Schizosaccharomyces pombe: one gene and its partners. The gene in region 1 interacts genetically with each later gene. Each region holds a gene or a part of one and is shown in the gene's direction. Other genes may lie near its edges. The genes, in order: pkd2, orb6 and ace2.

The links.
Region 2: mutations in pkd2 (region 1) and orb6 impair growth when combined (synthetic growth defect), as found in Schizosaccharomyces pombe (one study listed by BioGRID).
Region 3: mutations in pkd2 (region 1) and ace2 impair growth when combined (synthetic growth defect), as found in Schizosaccharomyces pombe (one study listed by BioGRID).

The regions. Positions count from the first base shown.
Region 1 is NC_003424.3:4,217,570-4,223,680, forward strand, and holds pkd2 (plasma membrane TRP-like calcium ion channel Pkd2), read left to right. Parts: upstream 1-2,181; 5' UTR 2,182-2,431; coding exon 2,432-4,564; 3' UTR 4,565-5,078; downstream 5,079-6,111. Other genes in the region: ATP-dependent RNA helicase Has1, read right to left, coding at 1-1,585; protein tam6, read right to left, coding at 5,079-5,324. UniProt on the Schizosaccharomyces pombe protein: Acts as a key signaling component in the regulation of cell shape and cell wall synthesis through interaction with GTPase Rho1.
Region 2 is NC_003424.3:1,005,771-1,011,198, forward strand, and holds orb6 (serine/threonine protein kinase Orb6), read left to right. Parts: upstream 1-2,492; 5' UTR 2,493-2,668; coding exon 2,669-2,811; intron 2,812-3,078; coding exon 3,079-3,253; intron 3,254-3,298; coding exon 3,299-4,390; 3' UTR 4,391-4,548; downstream 4,549-5,428. Other genes in the region: gamma-glutamyl phosphate reductase Pro1, read left to right, coding at 624-1,979; dnf1 (P-type ATPase), read right to left, coding at 4,870-5,428. UniProt on the Schizosaccharomyces pombe protein: Interacts with pak1/shk1 and coordinates cell morphogenesis with the cell cycle. It is essential for maintenance of cell polarity and is involved in mitotic control.
Region 3 is NC_003424.3:3,238,190-3,243,335, reverse strand, and holds ace2 (DNA-binding transcription factor Ace2), read left to right. Parts: upstream 1-2,182; 5' UTR 2,183-2,368; coding exon 2,369-3,970; 3' UTR 3,971-4,104; downstream 4,105-5,146. Other genes in the region: RNA-binding protein Nop9, read left to right, coding at 1-78; SPOM_SPAC6G9.01C (uncharacterized protein), read left to right, coding at 1,004-1,184, 1,583-1,681, 1,766-1,773; ubi3 (ubiquitin-40S ribosomal protein S31 fusion protein), read left to right, coding at 4,974-5,146. UniProt on the Schizosaccharomyces pombe protein: Regulates the transcription of genes required for cell separation.

The DNA.
Region 1 (6,111 bases):
GATGAGCAAAACCGAATGATTTAGCAACTTTTGCGAGATCCAATTTATTAATATCAAAGATAGATTTTAAAGAATATGAGGCATAGGCCTGCAAGTAGGAACGGTATCCATCCTTTGCAGACTGCTGCAAATAATAATTTTTGGAAACAAGCTTTTCGAGCTGAGATTGAACATTAGCAACTTTATTGGCAGGAAATTCAAACTCATTCAAAGAAACCTTGGCAGTTTTCAAATAACGAAGGAAACCGAGCTCAGAAGGAGCGAGGAACATAAGGGATTTACCAGTTCCCTTTGTTCCTCTAGCTGTACGACCTACACGATGAATATAATCTCGGGGGTCATCAGGAGGATCGTACTGCACGATCCAGTCAACGGCTGGAATATCTAACCCGCGTGCAGCAACATTGGTGCAAAGTAGTATTCCCTTTTCGGCATTGCAGAATTCAAAAAAGGTGTTTGTACGACGCTGTTGCTTTTGCTTGCCATGAAGATCAAGTACTGGTAAATCTATATAGTTCAGTAATTCTGCCATATATTTGACAGAAGCACAAGATGACATGAAAACAATAACTTTTTTCTTCAAATTGCGTTTTAAGAAGGAAAATAAAAGAAGAAACCGTTTGTCAGAATCAACTACAACATAACCTTGCTCCAATCCTTCAACGGTAGAGGTAGGCTTACCAGAATCAACGTTAACATACAAGGGTCCGGGCTTAAGAGAGATACGAGCAAGATCTTCAACTTTAGTTGTCTGTGTAGCAGAAAACAGGAGGGTTTGTCGATTTTCCGAGGGAAGGATTTTCATGATTTGTCTCATTTCGTCCTCAAAACCAATCTCCAAAATTCTGTCGGCTTCGTCAATCACTAAGGATCGTAAATTGCGGAATACAAATCCTTTGGTATTTTGCAAGTGATCCAGTAAACGACCAGGAGTAGCAACTAATAGGTTAACACCTTTCACCAATTTATCAGCTTCAGCACGGCGATTAGCACCGCCAATGACGATACCAAATGTTTGGTGATGGTATTTCAACAACTCCTTTGCGACACCAAAAATTTGAAGAGCCAATTCACGAGTAGGAGATATAATAATAACACCAGTACCATTACGAGGCTTAAATTTCAATGCATAAAGCATTTCAATGGTAGGAATTAGAAAAGCCAAAGTTTTACCACTACCAGTTTTAGCTGCACCTAAAACATCACGACCGGCCAAAAGAGGAGGAATAGAGCGCTTTTGAATTTCTGTCATCGTTTCAAAGCCCATTTCTTTAATTGCCTTTTGGATGTTTTCAGAGAGTTGTAGGTCTGAAAACTTTTCAATATCCGAAGTGGAAGAAGCGTTCAGGTTGACAGATTTTTGAACACGCTCATCTTCATTTTCATTATCTAATTCCTCACTTTCTGATTCTACTGAAGTATTTTGGTCAGCATCTTCATTTTCCTCTTCCTGCTCGTAATCGTCTTCGTCTTGAGGAAGTTCTTCAGCAATTTTTTTATCGTTTTTTAAAGGTTTTTGACGTTTTTCTTTTACTTCCTCATTACCCGATTGATGCTTTTTCCGCTTTAACTCGGATTTAGCCATCTTGTACAACGAATGCAGACTACTAATGAGTTTGGGAATTTGCAAAATGCTTGTATGAAAAATGGAAAAGTGGAAAACTGCGAAATGTATACCGCCGTAACGCAACGTGTCAAATCTATGCAGCAAAGTAAATAGCAATATTTAACGATATTCTTTTCATTCAACTTTCAAATGTTAAACAATTATAGTGTTCAAATTCGATTGAAATTCCTAATCTAAAGTTAGTGTCTTTTAATAAACATTTCGCTATCTATACTGCGTACTATGTCACATTAGGCTTAGTTTTACATTATGATATTTTAAAGTAGCTGTGGTGAATTTCTTTATGAAAGAAGTTTTGCTAAAATGACTTTTGTTAATACGTTACGAGTTGATTAAGCGTCAATTGACACTGTAGAATATAAAAATTATCTTATAAAAAAAAAAGAAAGGTCTATCGTACTATTAAATCCTCAATTACCAGTTATTTACTGGTTAGTGTGCTGGTAGTTTTCCATGTTAAATGGCTGTGATCTAAGGTAACAGGTACCGGGATTTGTCTCTAGTCATCACTTGTCTTGAACGGGTTGAGAATCTTTGATGATAATACAGCCACCCAGAGCAAACTATATTTTTGTTAATCATTCCCATTGTTATATATCCCTCGATTTAATTGGAATTAATAAGTTTTCAAATCTAACTTAATTTAAGAATAATAATAACTGGTTGTGGAGAATTTTAGCTACATTTGAGACTCAGTTACATTGGAATTCACAGTCTGTCTTTTCTATTCATTAATATCATCTTTTGACTTCACCTTCCTGTTTTTCCATTAATCAACTGTTTCTCACTACCATCAACTGCAAAATGAGGCTTTGGAGAAGCCCACTTTTACTCTTAGTTGTGGTCGTCGAGCTATTTTCATGGGCTGATGCTTTAACCAGATTCATTTCCGCCGACTCTCTGTCCACATGTATGACTGATTCACAGTTATCAGCAAGTAAGCTCTATGCCTCGTATTTTCCGGACAATCAATCTGTTGCCTTTGATATCTCGATACAATCTCTTGTTTCTACGAATGTCAGTATAGACGTCGACATTAGTGCATACGGAATCGAAATAAAGAAGGTGATAGATCCTTGCGATATGGAAATTTCTGGCTTCTGTCCAATGCAGACTGGAAATATTGCTTTATCTGGTAGTCATACTTTAACCGGAGAGGCTCTTTCTATTCTTGATAGTATTCCCTCCATTGCATACACAGTTCCGGATTTAGATGCTGTTGTGACTATTAATATTTATGAATCAGATACAAACACACAATTAGCTTGTGTTCGTACTACAGTGCAAAATGGTCGTTCTGTTTACCACAGAGCTGTTTACTGGGTTATGTGTATGGTAATCGGTATCCCACTTTTAATTTTCTTACTGATATCCCCTGTTCTTCAAACACCCGCACTTTGGGAAATCGTTGAAACGATGATTACCTTATTTCAGTTTGCTCAAATCCAGGCTTTGTATTCCATGATGGCTACTTCTCTTCCTGCTATCATTTACAGTTGGGGCCGTAATTTCATGTGGTCGATGGGTATTATCAGGATTGGCTTCATGCAAGATGTTTTTACATGGTACGTTAAATCAACTGGCGGCACGCCATCTACTCTTGTAGATTTGGGTATACATGCTAATGTCGCCCTCGCAAAACGTGGTATTGATTTGGGCTCTCTCGCCAAGCGTGCAACTACTACTGTCACCACTAGCACAAGTGATTCTATTACCCTGAGGGGAATCAAGCGTATTTCATATATGATGGGGATTGAAACGACGAATTTCTTTGCTACTGGGTTTTCCTTTTTTATTATATTGTTGTTCTTTTCATTACTAGTTGCTATGGCTTCTAGATTTATTGTTGAAATGGTGCTCCTTGCATCCAGAAATCAAGCTTTGAAAAAGCAACGTATCCGTCTTTATTGGAAATCTATATCCAAAGGATTTTTCTATCGTGTGATTTTTGTCGGATTCACTCAAATGAGTGTTTTGTCCATGTGGGAAATCTATACTCGTGATTCTTCCGCTTTGGCATTTTTATCAATGTACGTGATTGTGGACATGGCAGTTTTGCTCTGCTATGCATTTGTGCGGACAATTCAAATTATCCGCAAAACAGGACCTTATTCCCATCCTGACGTCTTGTACAACCTATATTCTGACACTCAACACTTGATGCGTTGGGGCTTTATGTACGTGCAATTAGACGTCCGTTTCTTTTACTTTACTTTCCCACTGTTGCTTATAACCTTGGTACGCTCAATGTTCATCGGTTTTGGTCAGGGCTCACCCAAAGTCCAGGGCTGTGCCATGTTTGGTATTAGCGTTGTCGTTTTTGCTCTTATGGTGATTCTCCGACCTTATGCCACTAAACACATGAATACTTTGCATATCGGTGTTGCTTTAATGAATTTGATAAGTGGTTCTTTTATTTTAGTGATGTGTCAAGCTTTTTATGTGGAGGAATTAGCTCGTCAAGTTATTGGCATTATATTTTTTGCATTGAACGCTATTACAATGCTTCTTTTGATCCTGGGTATATTTATACGTACACTTATCGTCCTGTTCCGTAAATCAGGACATGGTACTTATTACCGTATCCTCGATGACCAAAGCGAGAAGGCTACCTCGTATAACAAATCTATTAAGGATATGAGCTCTTCCGACATGGCCTTCTCTGATCCGGCTTACTCTGGAACTACGTTGAGAAGCTCCGTTGACCTTAATACACCAGAATATCCGTTTTCGAATCGTAATGATTCAGACAGTACGTTCACAAATAACAAATATGTTTCCCCTTGGGACGCTATCGAAGAAGCTTCGTATGCCAACCTTCGTGGAAATACTGACGTCGAACAACCATTTATGGAATCAGATTATACCCGCATCTCTGAAAATAATAACAACGCTGAACGTCGACGCAAACCATTACCTAACAATGCTTTTCGTTAAACGTGGATGGAAAATGTTGTGTCGTATTACATATATATTACATTCCATCTACCTTACACATTCTTTCATTATTATACAATTGTTGTCTCTGAGATTTTTTTAAACTATAATTTTCTACAAAGTTTGGGGTAAAAGACCTTTAAAACAATTCACACAAGCATTCTTACAATGAACTCGACGAGGAGGTTCAATAAGCAATCAATGTCTAAATCTTATTTTTAGACAAAAGTCAACTATTTAGTGTATTCGCATCCTTTTTTTTATTTATGGTTCTTTTTTTAATTATATTTCAGAATTTTCCCTTCATTTCTGCTTCTTTTCTTTTATTCCATAATTGTTATAGTGTATAGGTTTAGTTACCATTTAAGCATATTTGTTGGATGTGCATCAGAAAGCAAAAAAACTTCACCCGTTTGATTAAAATGCAATTTAGTAAAAAACATTTACTTCTGATTCAAGTTACTTCTTCACGTCTTAAGATAACTGATAATAGAAAACGACGTTTATTAACATTTTATTGAAACAATCTATAGACACCGGTAAGAATAAATCCATAAGCCATTCCCAAAATACCGAATCGTTTAAGCTTGTAATTGGGTGTATTCAAAGGAATTCTAGATTGCGAATAGGCATATATTCCTAGACCTGTGAAAGCGCCTGCGCCCACCAAGCGGCATGGCAAGCAATCGTACTGTTCAAACCTTGGATCGTCTAAATCGACGGGTTTGGGAGTTTGTTGGAAACTTGATGATGGCATCATCGAAAGCTATCAGTTTAATTTATAAACTATAAAAAAAAAGTAACCGCGTAAATATATATGTGTATAATTAAGAGGCCACACAGCTTTCAACCACTTTCACTTTATAAACAAGATTAAAGCACTAAAAGGTAAAGTTTACTCAACCCGCTTTTTCTTTTCTTGTCAACTACAAAATGAAATGTCAGCGATCAATAATACGGTATCCAATTTGATAGATGTTCAATAATAACGACTCAGGACTTTTTTCTCTTTCAATTTGTGGGAAATCTATAGGGCGCGCTGTTCAAACTGTTTAATATATTGGTCTTATGTTCTCCAGTACTGAAATGAATCAATGGCAAAAGTTAAAAGAGACAAAGTAGTGAGTTAAGAGCTAAGTTATAGATCTACTGAAACCGTCTGTTTTATTTTAACTATGAAGAAGAATAAAAGAGGCTAAAGTTACATTTCATTTTTGTATATTTGTAGATCTGCTACCGGATCAATATTTTTTTGGGCGATATAATTTTAGTAAAATTAAAGTAGGATTTTATTGATCTCGAGAAATAAGAGAGCAAACAAAACGACGATAGAAAGAAAGAGCATCGTAATATTGCTTTATTACTTCAATCTGACATGTAAAATTATTTTTCGGCACCAAAAATTGCCGCTTTTTGAATTTAGGAATTCATCTCACATTTGCATTTTACAAATAGAATGCTGTTTAATTTTATGAGTATACAATTATAATTATAGCTATTTATACGAAGCTTTGCTTCTTTATGTCTCTTCCAAAAGTTTCTATATT
Region 2 (5,428 bases), 3.2 Mb from region 1:
TTCAACTAGAAGCATCTTTAATTTGAATTAAAAACAACTAGATCAAATTGATTCAGTAATAACTGGACACCATGCTAATAAATGTTTTTGCTTTTACGATATGACTATAATTTATTCATGAGAAATACGAAGTGTGTAATAATCCAAATTCTCTATGGAATATACAAAGCACACTTTAAAATTAGTATCTTTGTATTTCTTAACCGAAGATACCCAGTTGCTCATTTTTTAGTCTTTTGTTTACAAGCATAATTCTTGCACTACGTGAAAAGTGAAAAGTAAGGCTACTATATATAGTAACGGAAAAACAAAAACTGAAAATATAACACTAACTGTTCTTGAGGTTGCAAAATATTTTTAGTTAACTGCAGAAGTACTCTCACTTTCCATGATTTCGTATCTTTCAGAAATCTTAGTTATGCTTAATGTAAAGTAACAATGCTTGATTTTGTTACTTGAAGGGTGTTAAATAAATCACGAACTTGCATTATTCATACATTAGAAAAAACAACCAAAATACTACAAAAAGTAGTCTTTTTGAGCTAGCCATTCTAAGAATAAGAATTCGCTTGATTTAAATCTCCCAATTGCCTCTACTCAAAGTTGTATAAGTATTGTTTAGCATGTCTCTTGAAGAGAATGTAAAGGAAGCGAAAAACGCTTTTAACATTTTACAGACATTATCAGTGGAAGACCGTGATGATGCATTGGATAAAATAGTTGAAGAACTGCGCATAAAAAAGTCAGAGGTTCTAGCTGCAAATGCTGAAGATATGAAAGCAGCTAAGCTCTTGGCTGAATCAGGAAAACTAAGTTCATCGATGGTTAAAAGATTGGATCTGTCTTCATCTGATAAATACGATTCCATGGTACAGGGTGTTTTAGATGTTAAAAGTTTGCCTGATCCCCTTGGTCGTGTTACTTATGCTCGTAGTCTTGACGATGGTTTGGACCTTTATAAAGTCTCTTGCCCTGTAGGTTTATTGCTAGTCATTTTTGAAGCTAGACCTGAAGTAATCATTAATATTACTTCCCTGGCTATCAAATCTGGTAATGCTGTTGTACTTAAAGGAGGCACGGAATCAGCAAAGTCTTTCGCTGCACTTTCTAATGTTGTTCGCTCTGCCTTGGGCAAAAGTAAGGTTCCACAGGCTGCTGTGCAGCTTGTTCAGAGTCGCGAGGAGGTATCACAATTATTAAAATTGGATGAGTACATAGATTTGGTTATTCCCCGCGGCAGCACTAATCTTGTACGCCATATAAAAGATAACACAAAAATTCCTGTTTTAGGTCATGCTGCAGGACTATGCTCCATGTACGTCCATGAGGATGCTGATATGGAATTGGCTAGTAAACTTGTTCTGGATGGAAAAACTGATTATCCAGCAGCATGTAATGCAATTGAAACTTTGTTAATTAACGAAGCTGTTTTATCTTCTCATCTTCCTAAAATTGCTGAAACTTTAACTGAAGCAAAAGTTACATTAAAATGTGATCCCGCTTCTCTTAAGGTTTTAAAGGATATGCCAAAAGTTAGTGCTCTAGTTGAACCATCTGTCGATCAAGATTACAACACTGAATTCTCTGATTTGATTCTTGCTATTAAGACTGTACCTTCCTTACAGTCCGCAATGCAGCATATAAATACACATGGTTCTAAACACACGGATTGCATTATCACTTCTAGTGAAGCAGCTGCTAACAGATTCATGGCTGGAATTGATGCTTCTGGTGTGTATTGGAATGCTTCAACCAGATTTGCCGATGGTTTTCGTTATGGTTACGGTACCGAAGTTGGCATCAGCACCAACAAAATTCATGCTCGAGGACCAATGGGTCTTGATGGGTTAACTATTTACAAGTACCAACTTAGAGGAAATGGTCAAGTTGCAAGTAGTTATGGAGTTGGACCTGGCAAACGCGCATTTAAACATACCCCTATTAATATAGACAATATTTCTCAGGTTTCGAAAAAATAAACACAAAAAAGATTTGAAAATTATGTGAAATTGTCAACGTTTTGGCTAGCTGCATTTTGGATACAAATCGGTTAGGCTTTTTTTGTTTACTTGTTTGTCTATAATATTTAAATGGGAGTTTCAATAATGTGAAGTTATTAAATGAAGAGTAAACACCAAATTAAATAGATAACTATTCCTGTAGAGTTCGATCCACCACCTTTAGTTTTTATTACACAAATATTTTTATGGTGAAGAACGAATTGATGTCTCCGTCCGTCTTTTTTGACTATTCATTTCAATTCAGATTCTAAAATCTTCGTAAGCTAAGATTCTTGGCTTCAGTTAGTAGCGTCGTAATATTGAACAGGGAGGGTTAGGAAATGCGCGGAGCTTATCGCAAGCGATCGTTGAAGTTATATAACAAACTGCAGAAGTACTTGCTTTTCCAGTATCGCAGTTTAACATATTTTTATCGGATTATACCTTAGCTGGCAGTAGTCCTATAATTAAAAAAGCATAATAGGACTTGTCATTTACCATATCCGATTTATCACTGTCTCATTTCTGTTTTGCATGTCTTGTTAATTCATGTTTTAAGCGATTGAATTTCAATCTTTTAACAATTTCTTTTTGTTAATTAATTCGTTGACCTTGTAGTTGATTCTAATTAGTGTAAAAATTCCATTTATTGCAACATTTCTTTCAATATGGATAAGAATGATTACTTACACTTTGAACGGAACCCTTCATTATTTCCGAAATCAACTTTAGACAAAGTCCAAAAGACAAAGAAATATATTGAACATTATTACAAGGTGGCAGTTGATCATGCTGTAGAGCGCAACCAAAGGTACGAGTAGCATTACTATTCAGGGTTCTAGCATTGTTTCACATTCCTCAATTAGTATTCCCATCTTATACGTTGATCGGATAAGTATCAAAGACGATGCTTTTATTAATTCTTTCTCCGTTCTCAACTTCGCGTGTTGCAGTAAATGCATAATCTCGAATGTTTATAAAATCTTAGACAGCTTACTCATCTTGTTTCGAAAATGTTAATTAATAATGCTAGCTTCCGTTTAATTTACTTTTAGGTATAAATACTAATTCTCTTTAGACGTATCAATTTGGAGCAACGATTAGCAACCGAAAGGGGTTCTGAGGAGAGAAAGAATAGGCAGTTAAGAGCATCTGGTGAAAAAGAGTCTCAATTTCTTCGATTTCGTCGTACACGGCTTTCTTTAGAAGATTTTTCTACCATCAAAGTTATTGGGAAAGGTGCATTTGGCGAGGTACGTTTGCATAATTGTTTATGTTTTTGGTATCTAATTAAATAGGTTCGGTTGGTTCAGAAACTCGATACGGGTAAAATCTATGCCATGAAATCTTTGCTTAAAACTGAAATGTTCAAACGTGACCAGCTGGCTCATGTCAAAGCAGAACGCGACTTATTAGTTGAATCTGACTCCCCATGGGTGGTGTCATTGTATTATGCTTTTCAAGATTCACTGTATCTTTACTTGATTATGGAGTTTTTACCAGGCGGTGATTTGATGACCATGCTAATAAATTATGATACTTTTTCAGAAGACGTTACTCGCTTCTACATGGCTGAGTGCGTTTTGGCTATAGCTGATGTTCATCGAATGGGTTATATTCATCGGGATATAAAACCGGATAACATACTGATTGACCGGGATGGCCATATAAAACTTTCTGATTTCGGACTTTCCACTGGTTTTTACAAGCAAGATCAGAGTGCCTCTTACATGAAACCTCGCACAGGAAATACTGTCAAACGTGGTCAAATGGTAGATGCTATCTGGCTTACAATGTCTTCCAAGGACAAAATGGCTACTTGGAAAAAGAACCGTAGGGTGATGGCCTATAGCACTGTGGGTACTCCTGATTATATCGCTCCAGAAATTTTCTTGCAACAAGGGTATGGTCAAGATTGTGATTGGTGGAGTTTAGGCGCTATCATGTTCGAGTGCTTAATTGGATGGCCTCCCTTTTGCAGTGAAAACTCTCATGAAACTTATCGAAAAATCATCAATTGGCGTGAGACTCTGACTTTCCCAAATGATATACATTTAAGCATAGAAGCTCGTGATTTGATGGACCGACTTATGACAGATTCAGAACACAGATTAGGTCGTGGCGGTGCTATTGAAATAATGCAACATCCTTTCTTTACTGGAATCGATTGGGATCATATACGAGAAACTGCAGCTCCATTTATTCCGAATTTGAAATCTATTACCGATACACATTATTTCCCTGTTGATGAGCTTGAACAAGTTCCTGAACAACCTGTCACACAACAACCTGCTTCTGTTGACCCTCAGACGTTGGAACAAACCAATCTGGCATTCCTTGGGTACACTTACAAAAAATTCAATTATTTAACGATGAAAGGAGCATTGTAAGACTTCTGCAAGAAACTCCATAGCTACTTTGTTCATTGTCCTTTGAGCATCTAACTATTGTTATCGAATTTTTTTTATCGTTAATTCATGTTTACCTTCTTTTACATTATTTTAGCATAACTAATAATATTACCAATTACTTTTTTTTAATGTTGTCCCTACTGATAAAATCTTACATGCACTTCTGTAAATATTAAATTCGTTGCATAAGAATTCCAAATTAATGCATAGATTTTATTAGGGAAAAGATAAAAAAGAGTGAGTAAAAAACATGTATTAATAAGTACAACAGGATGTTAACGCCAAGAAAACCAACCAAAATAGTAAACAATAATTATGAAATGCGGATCATGACCCATAACTAATAGACAATTTCTAATTGAACAGTGGGAACCCCAGAATTTTAACATTTTACCAGTAAACTGACTATCGTCTAAAGAAAGTTTCATATACTAGAATTGGATTAATGAATTAAATGCCTAATCTCGGCTTTTTAAATATTGTTCAATTTCATCGACAGATGGTGCATTGGCTTGTAAAAACTCACCGCTCTCTTGCTCAAACCGAGAGCGGACAAAGGCATCGTTTTCCATTTCCACAAATATGTCGGTGTCCGTAGGACGTAAAGTCCTTCGTAACATTTGGGCAACAATATCAATTGTTAAAGCACAAACCATTACAAAAAGCATAGTAAGCCACCATGAAGGATTTTTGCCAAAATGATGGAGAAACTGTGATCTAGCAAGATATAAATTCTTGTCCGGATAATGCTCGCTTATAAAGATATTAAATAAAAACCAAGCCAAGGACGTTAAAACAAGTACTATTATAGAAATGATGTTTATGTATTGCATCTCTATAAAGACCAATTTGAAATTCATGATAAAAATAGCAGCAGTAAAAATGAGTTGACCATAAGCGAAGATATTGTTGTCATTAAGTTCCTTCATTCCAAATAAACTATACGTAACATAGAAAACTAAGAAAGCTTGAATGAAGGCTATTGAACACCACCCAAAATACACTCGCCAATTGAAT
Region 3 (5,146 bases), 980 kb from region 1:
ACTCAGCCTTTGGGGGAGAAGCGCAGCACTGAAAATGATGAAGAGCTTGAGTCCGGTCCTAAAAGAGTGAAAGTCTGAAGGAGAAAAGGTTTCCATTGGTTAAATTGAAATGCACGGCATTTTTACGTCTCGCCAATTTAAGCATGGCATTTTGTTGGTCAAAAAAAAGTTATGTTTTTAATTTAGGTAATATAGGTATTTAATTTTGTTGCGGTTTGCTATGTATAGAGGCGCTTTTGCAGAGTAAGGAAGTAAACTTTGTAAAAGGAATTGTATTTCTAATTATGAATTGATCAACTGAAGAAGAGGTTTCGAATTTTTTGAATTGTTCTACCACTAATAATTTGTGTTTTGTATATTTGTATTCAAATGTTTTGCCTTATTTCTCTAAGGTGGTTTCTAGGCTGAAAAAGAATTGACAGAGGTTTTGAGCTGATTTTCATTGTCAAATAGTATTCACTTTATTTTTATCTTATGCTTAATTACTAAAGTATTTCGTTTATTAAGCAATGAGATTTTGCATTTGTTAATTTGATACAGCAATAATTCGCTTCTTAAATGAAGACAAAAAGTGTTAATTTATGGTATTAGGATAGAGTTGACCTAAATATGCTTTTATAAAGAAAGCTTGGCCAAAGAATTGTCTACATTTTATTGCCGTTTCGAAATACCGATGACAGAGGTGATACAGCTTCTAAACAAAATTAAACAATTTTAAACATAATAAAGAACCAAAGGAAAAAAAAGGAATCGATCAATCTCATGCCTTAATGCTGGTACAAGTTTCTTCTGAAGAATCATTCTTATAAATATTACAAATTCTTTACCGTAATACGAGAGAATACGTTATGCAGATTTAAGCATTTTAGAGAATTCTTATTTTATGAAGCACGGTACCGCAAAAGAATTTCTAGCAAGTTTGCAAGCTACAACAAACTGTCTCTCTACTCAATTATACAATTGCCATTGACTTGGCAAACTCCTCTCTACGAGTATTTAAAAGATGGAAATCGACGACATTTTTGCTTCTAAAAAGGCAAACCCTGCAAATGAAAAGTCAAATGACTCAAAGTCGGAGGCGAAAGCCCCTAAGAAAGGAGCCAAGACAAAATCTACTCCAAGTCGTCCAAAACCTACTAATAACCAAGACGATTTATTTTTAGATCCAAAGGGAGCCTCAGGAAGTAAGACACTTTTTGCCGTTTGATAGTTCATCCTTACATACGTTCTCGCTACTTGGTTAATGATTGCATTCGTTCATGTTTGGCATCCGCGTTGTTTGTCAATTCTTTGACCTCAAATTCATATTTATTGTCTAAAAGATTGAGAAACTTCGAACTGTGCTATATACTTATTTATTTATTATATACTGCTAGAGCTAGATTACGTTTTTCTAGGGAGATACATTTCACAATGATGTTTAGTGTTGGTGGAGACTCCAAATCATTAAGCTCTATTGTGTGGTATTGAACCTTATTCGCTATTCTGTTTACGGGAATGTTTGCCGAACGATGCAATACTTACCTAGCAACGGCACTTTTCTCCTTATCATCAGTAATTGTATTAACGTTTTGTGTTTTAGGAAAGCGTACCGAGGAAGGGTTTCTTGTATATGACGAGGAGGAATTAAACATTGGCCAAGGTGGAGGTACACCGGATTGCCCTTTTGATTGTCAGTGTTGTAAGTAACTTATTCATTGCATTTAAAAACTTTTCCATGGCATTTTTTCTCTTGCTAGCTCTATACTAATACTAATACCTTAAGGTTTTTGATCTCAACGTCGTTGTCGTTTTTTCAGGTTGGTTACCGTTTTTTTTTGGCTTGTCATACTTAATCTATGTTTTCTAATATCATCCATGATCCAGTTGTTGAAGCGTAGACATTTTCATAGCCGTGATTATCCTGTTTATTAGTGGTAGTGTCTTTCAATCAAACCTTTTACTGGTTTAATTCAAAAAATAGTTGATTTGTCCCTTTGGCAACAAAAGGTAAATAAACAATCCCTGGGTCTGTGTTTACACTTGTATTGCGTTGTTGTGATATGGTTCGGTAATCCATGCAATGTAAACAAATAGTGACTTGTTTTGCGGTAAAGTGAAGCATAAAATTCAACAATTGTCGTCATAGCAACGGAGTAGCTATTTGATATAAACAAATAGCCAGCGCACCAAACATTGCTGTAACAAACAAAAAAAAATCGAAGAGTGATTAGTTCAATCATCTACTGGGTTAGACTGGCTTTGAGCCACACTTTCATCTCACTTCAAGTTATCAAGCACTCTTTTCAAGAGTCATTTCTCTCATCGTTCTCTCCTTGATTTCTCTACGCATTGCACTAGATACTCGCTATCCTAAGTAAACAAGACAATGTCGCTTTCATATTTATCATCTTCTTCGCAAAAGTCGTTTGAATCATTTCGACAAGAAGAGAGTCCAGCTTGTAATCATTCGTACCAAAGGGATTATGAAACTTTTGGCGATAGCAAGCATACTTCTTTTTCCTCCTTCGCTCCCTTTGAAAATGAGGTGTCTTTAAATCAAGCTGTTATCCCTTCACCGCCTTCTCATCTTCAGAACTTTCAAGATCAGTTTGACTATAGTTCTGTTCTAAAAACACCGTTTAACCCTTTGTTGGAAGCGAATTCTGCATACTTTTTATCGAACCAAATATCGCTCCCCGACTCTCACTCGTATGCATCCTCCTTTGATGCTTCCTTATCACCCCCTTCCTCGCCTTTAACTTGCGTATCACAAATCCATACCGAGCAAAATTTTAATAACAATGACGCATTTTCCTTGACCAACTCTCAACAGGCCTTTTCCGAAATTGGTTATGATGCATCAAATTGGATTGATGAGCTGGACTCTCAACAACAAGTCCTTTCGTTTCCTGAGTTTGACATACCAGAAATAAAGACGGAAACTTGCTCCAACAAAGATCACCTCGAAAATTTCGACTACCTTTCCTCAAGTATACCTGAAACCTCGGGTCCTGCCTCTTCCGTTCTTCCCAGCTCTTCGCAATTGGAATCATTTAATGAGTTTATGTTCCTCCCATCCTCTCCCCCTGGATTAGATGAGATAAACGGTGCGCCTTCATTTGAAGAATTGAACTTTCAAATATCCCAACCAAGTCCGGCACATCCTGTAGACTTATCGAGTCCAGAGACTGCACCTAATATCTCCCCTGTATCCCCATTTGCCCAACTTGTAAAGCTAGAGCCCACTTCGCCTCAAAAGCCCTCCTTTGCTCTAGATTCTTCGTTTTCCCATTTGGATGTATGCAGGCATACTGACAACCAGAAAGCGTTTGCAAAGTTATCATCACCTGCTGAATACGTTTCTGAATTTGAAAAATTCTCATCCGTTTGCGATCATGGACTTGACATATCGAACGCAAATATCAACAACACTTTGACACAGCAGTTTGCATTAAGTGCACCTTATGAATCTTGCATAGTTACCAAGAAACCTGAACCTTGTATCACTGTCAAGGAAGAAGAACAATTAGCTCCAAAAATTGAATCTGCTGATTTATCAATTACTCCTCAAGTCACCGAGCATGATTCCAAACCTCCGGTCAGAATTTCATACGATCATAGATGCAAAACTCGCAAGCAATCAACTAGGATTTGTAGAATTCCTCCGGAGACAATGGCTAGCTTATATTGCGGCCCTGAAGCAGATGGAAAGTACGTCTGTTTGTACAACGGGTGCAATAAACGTATTGCTCGCAAATATAATGTTGAATCGCATATTCAAACACATCTGAGCGACCGTCCGTATCGCTGTGACTTATGCAAAGCTGGCTTTGTTCGTCACCACGATCTTAAGCGTCATCTGAGGATTCACGAAAATGGCAGGCCATATGTATGTGAATGCTTAAAGAGATTTAACCGACTTGATGCCTTAAATCGGCATAAGCAGAGAAATATATGTGTTGGCGGCGTAGATCGCAGACAGCACTAATGATGACAGCTGTACAACTTGCATCGCATTGCATTATAATGAGTTATGTTTGGTTTTTTTTTGGGATTTTTTAATTTTACTAATATTATTGTTTTTAATTTGCTTTTATATAAATTCAAATTCAAGCATCGTACATGAACTAATGCTGTGACAATTTTGATAATTTATCAACTTGTATCTGTCTTTTGTATATTTATTCATCACCCTAGTATTGTGTATAACTCTGCATCATCTAAAATCTACAGATTAATCTTTGTGAAATGGAAATACAACTATGAAGTTGTTCGTATCGTTGAACGGCTGAAATGGTAAAACTAGTTTCCCCAAACCTGACAAACAACTTGGATACATGAGTAAGAATTAGTGTTTGCTTTCACTCGCACCGATGTTTAGTCAACATATGTTTAAGTTGGTATTTCTAGGGAAAACTTGTATTTAATTACTATAGTATGCGAAGTATTTCATTGGAAAACAGTGGTTGTAGTATGCTGCCAAGCAAGCATTTATTATGATAATAATAATTCAACAAATTAATCACTATGACTTAAACAGAGAAACCAATGATTGTTTTAACTATTATTGCTGGTCATTGGAGGAAATTTTGTCGGCAAGAGAAAAGATAATTCATTTCTATTTGCAAAGAACCAAAAAATACGAAAACTCGTCGTAGCTTATGCAAACACAAAATCACAGGTTTACAAGCCTTTACTACACTAAATCACCATATATGAATCATTCAATAGGATATAATTGACATCAATTAGTGACAAACTGTCGATATTAATACAAGGGAATCAGGATTTTCATTTCAGCATTACGATTTTAAAAATTGTGAGAAATGTTAAATTGTGTTATATAATTAACGCAAACGTTAATTCTCAGTACGAGAAACTTGCGTTACACCCTAACCTACGTGAGTTAAAACCAGTCACGCATCCATATATCACAATGCAACATCAATATTTTCCTCCATCCGCGAGGAAGAGGCAATACTTTGCTGACGATGCAGATCTTTGTAAAAACCCTTACGGGTAAGACCATTACCCTTGAGGTTGAATCCTCTGACACTATTGACAATGTCAAGAGCAAAATCCAAGATAAGGAAGGAATTCCTCCTGATCAACAACGTTTGATCTTTGCTGGCAAGCAACTCGAGGACGGACGTACTTTGTCTGA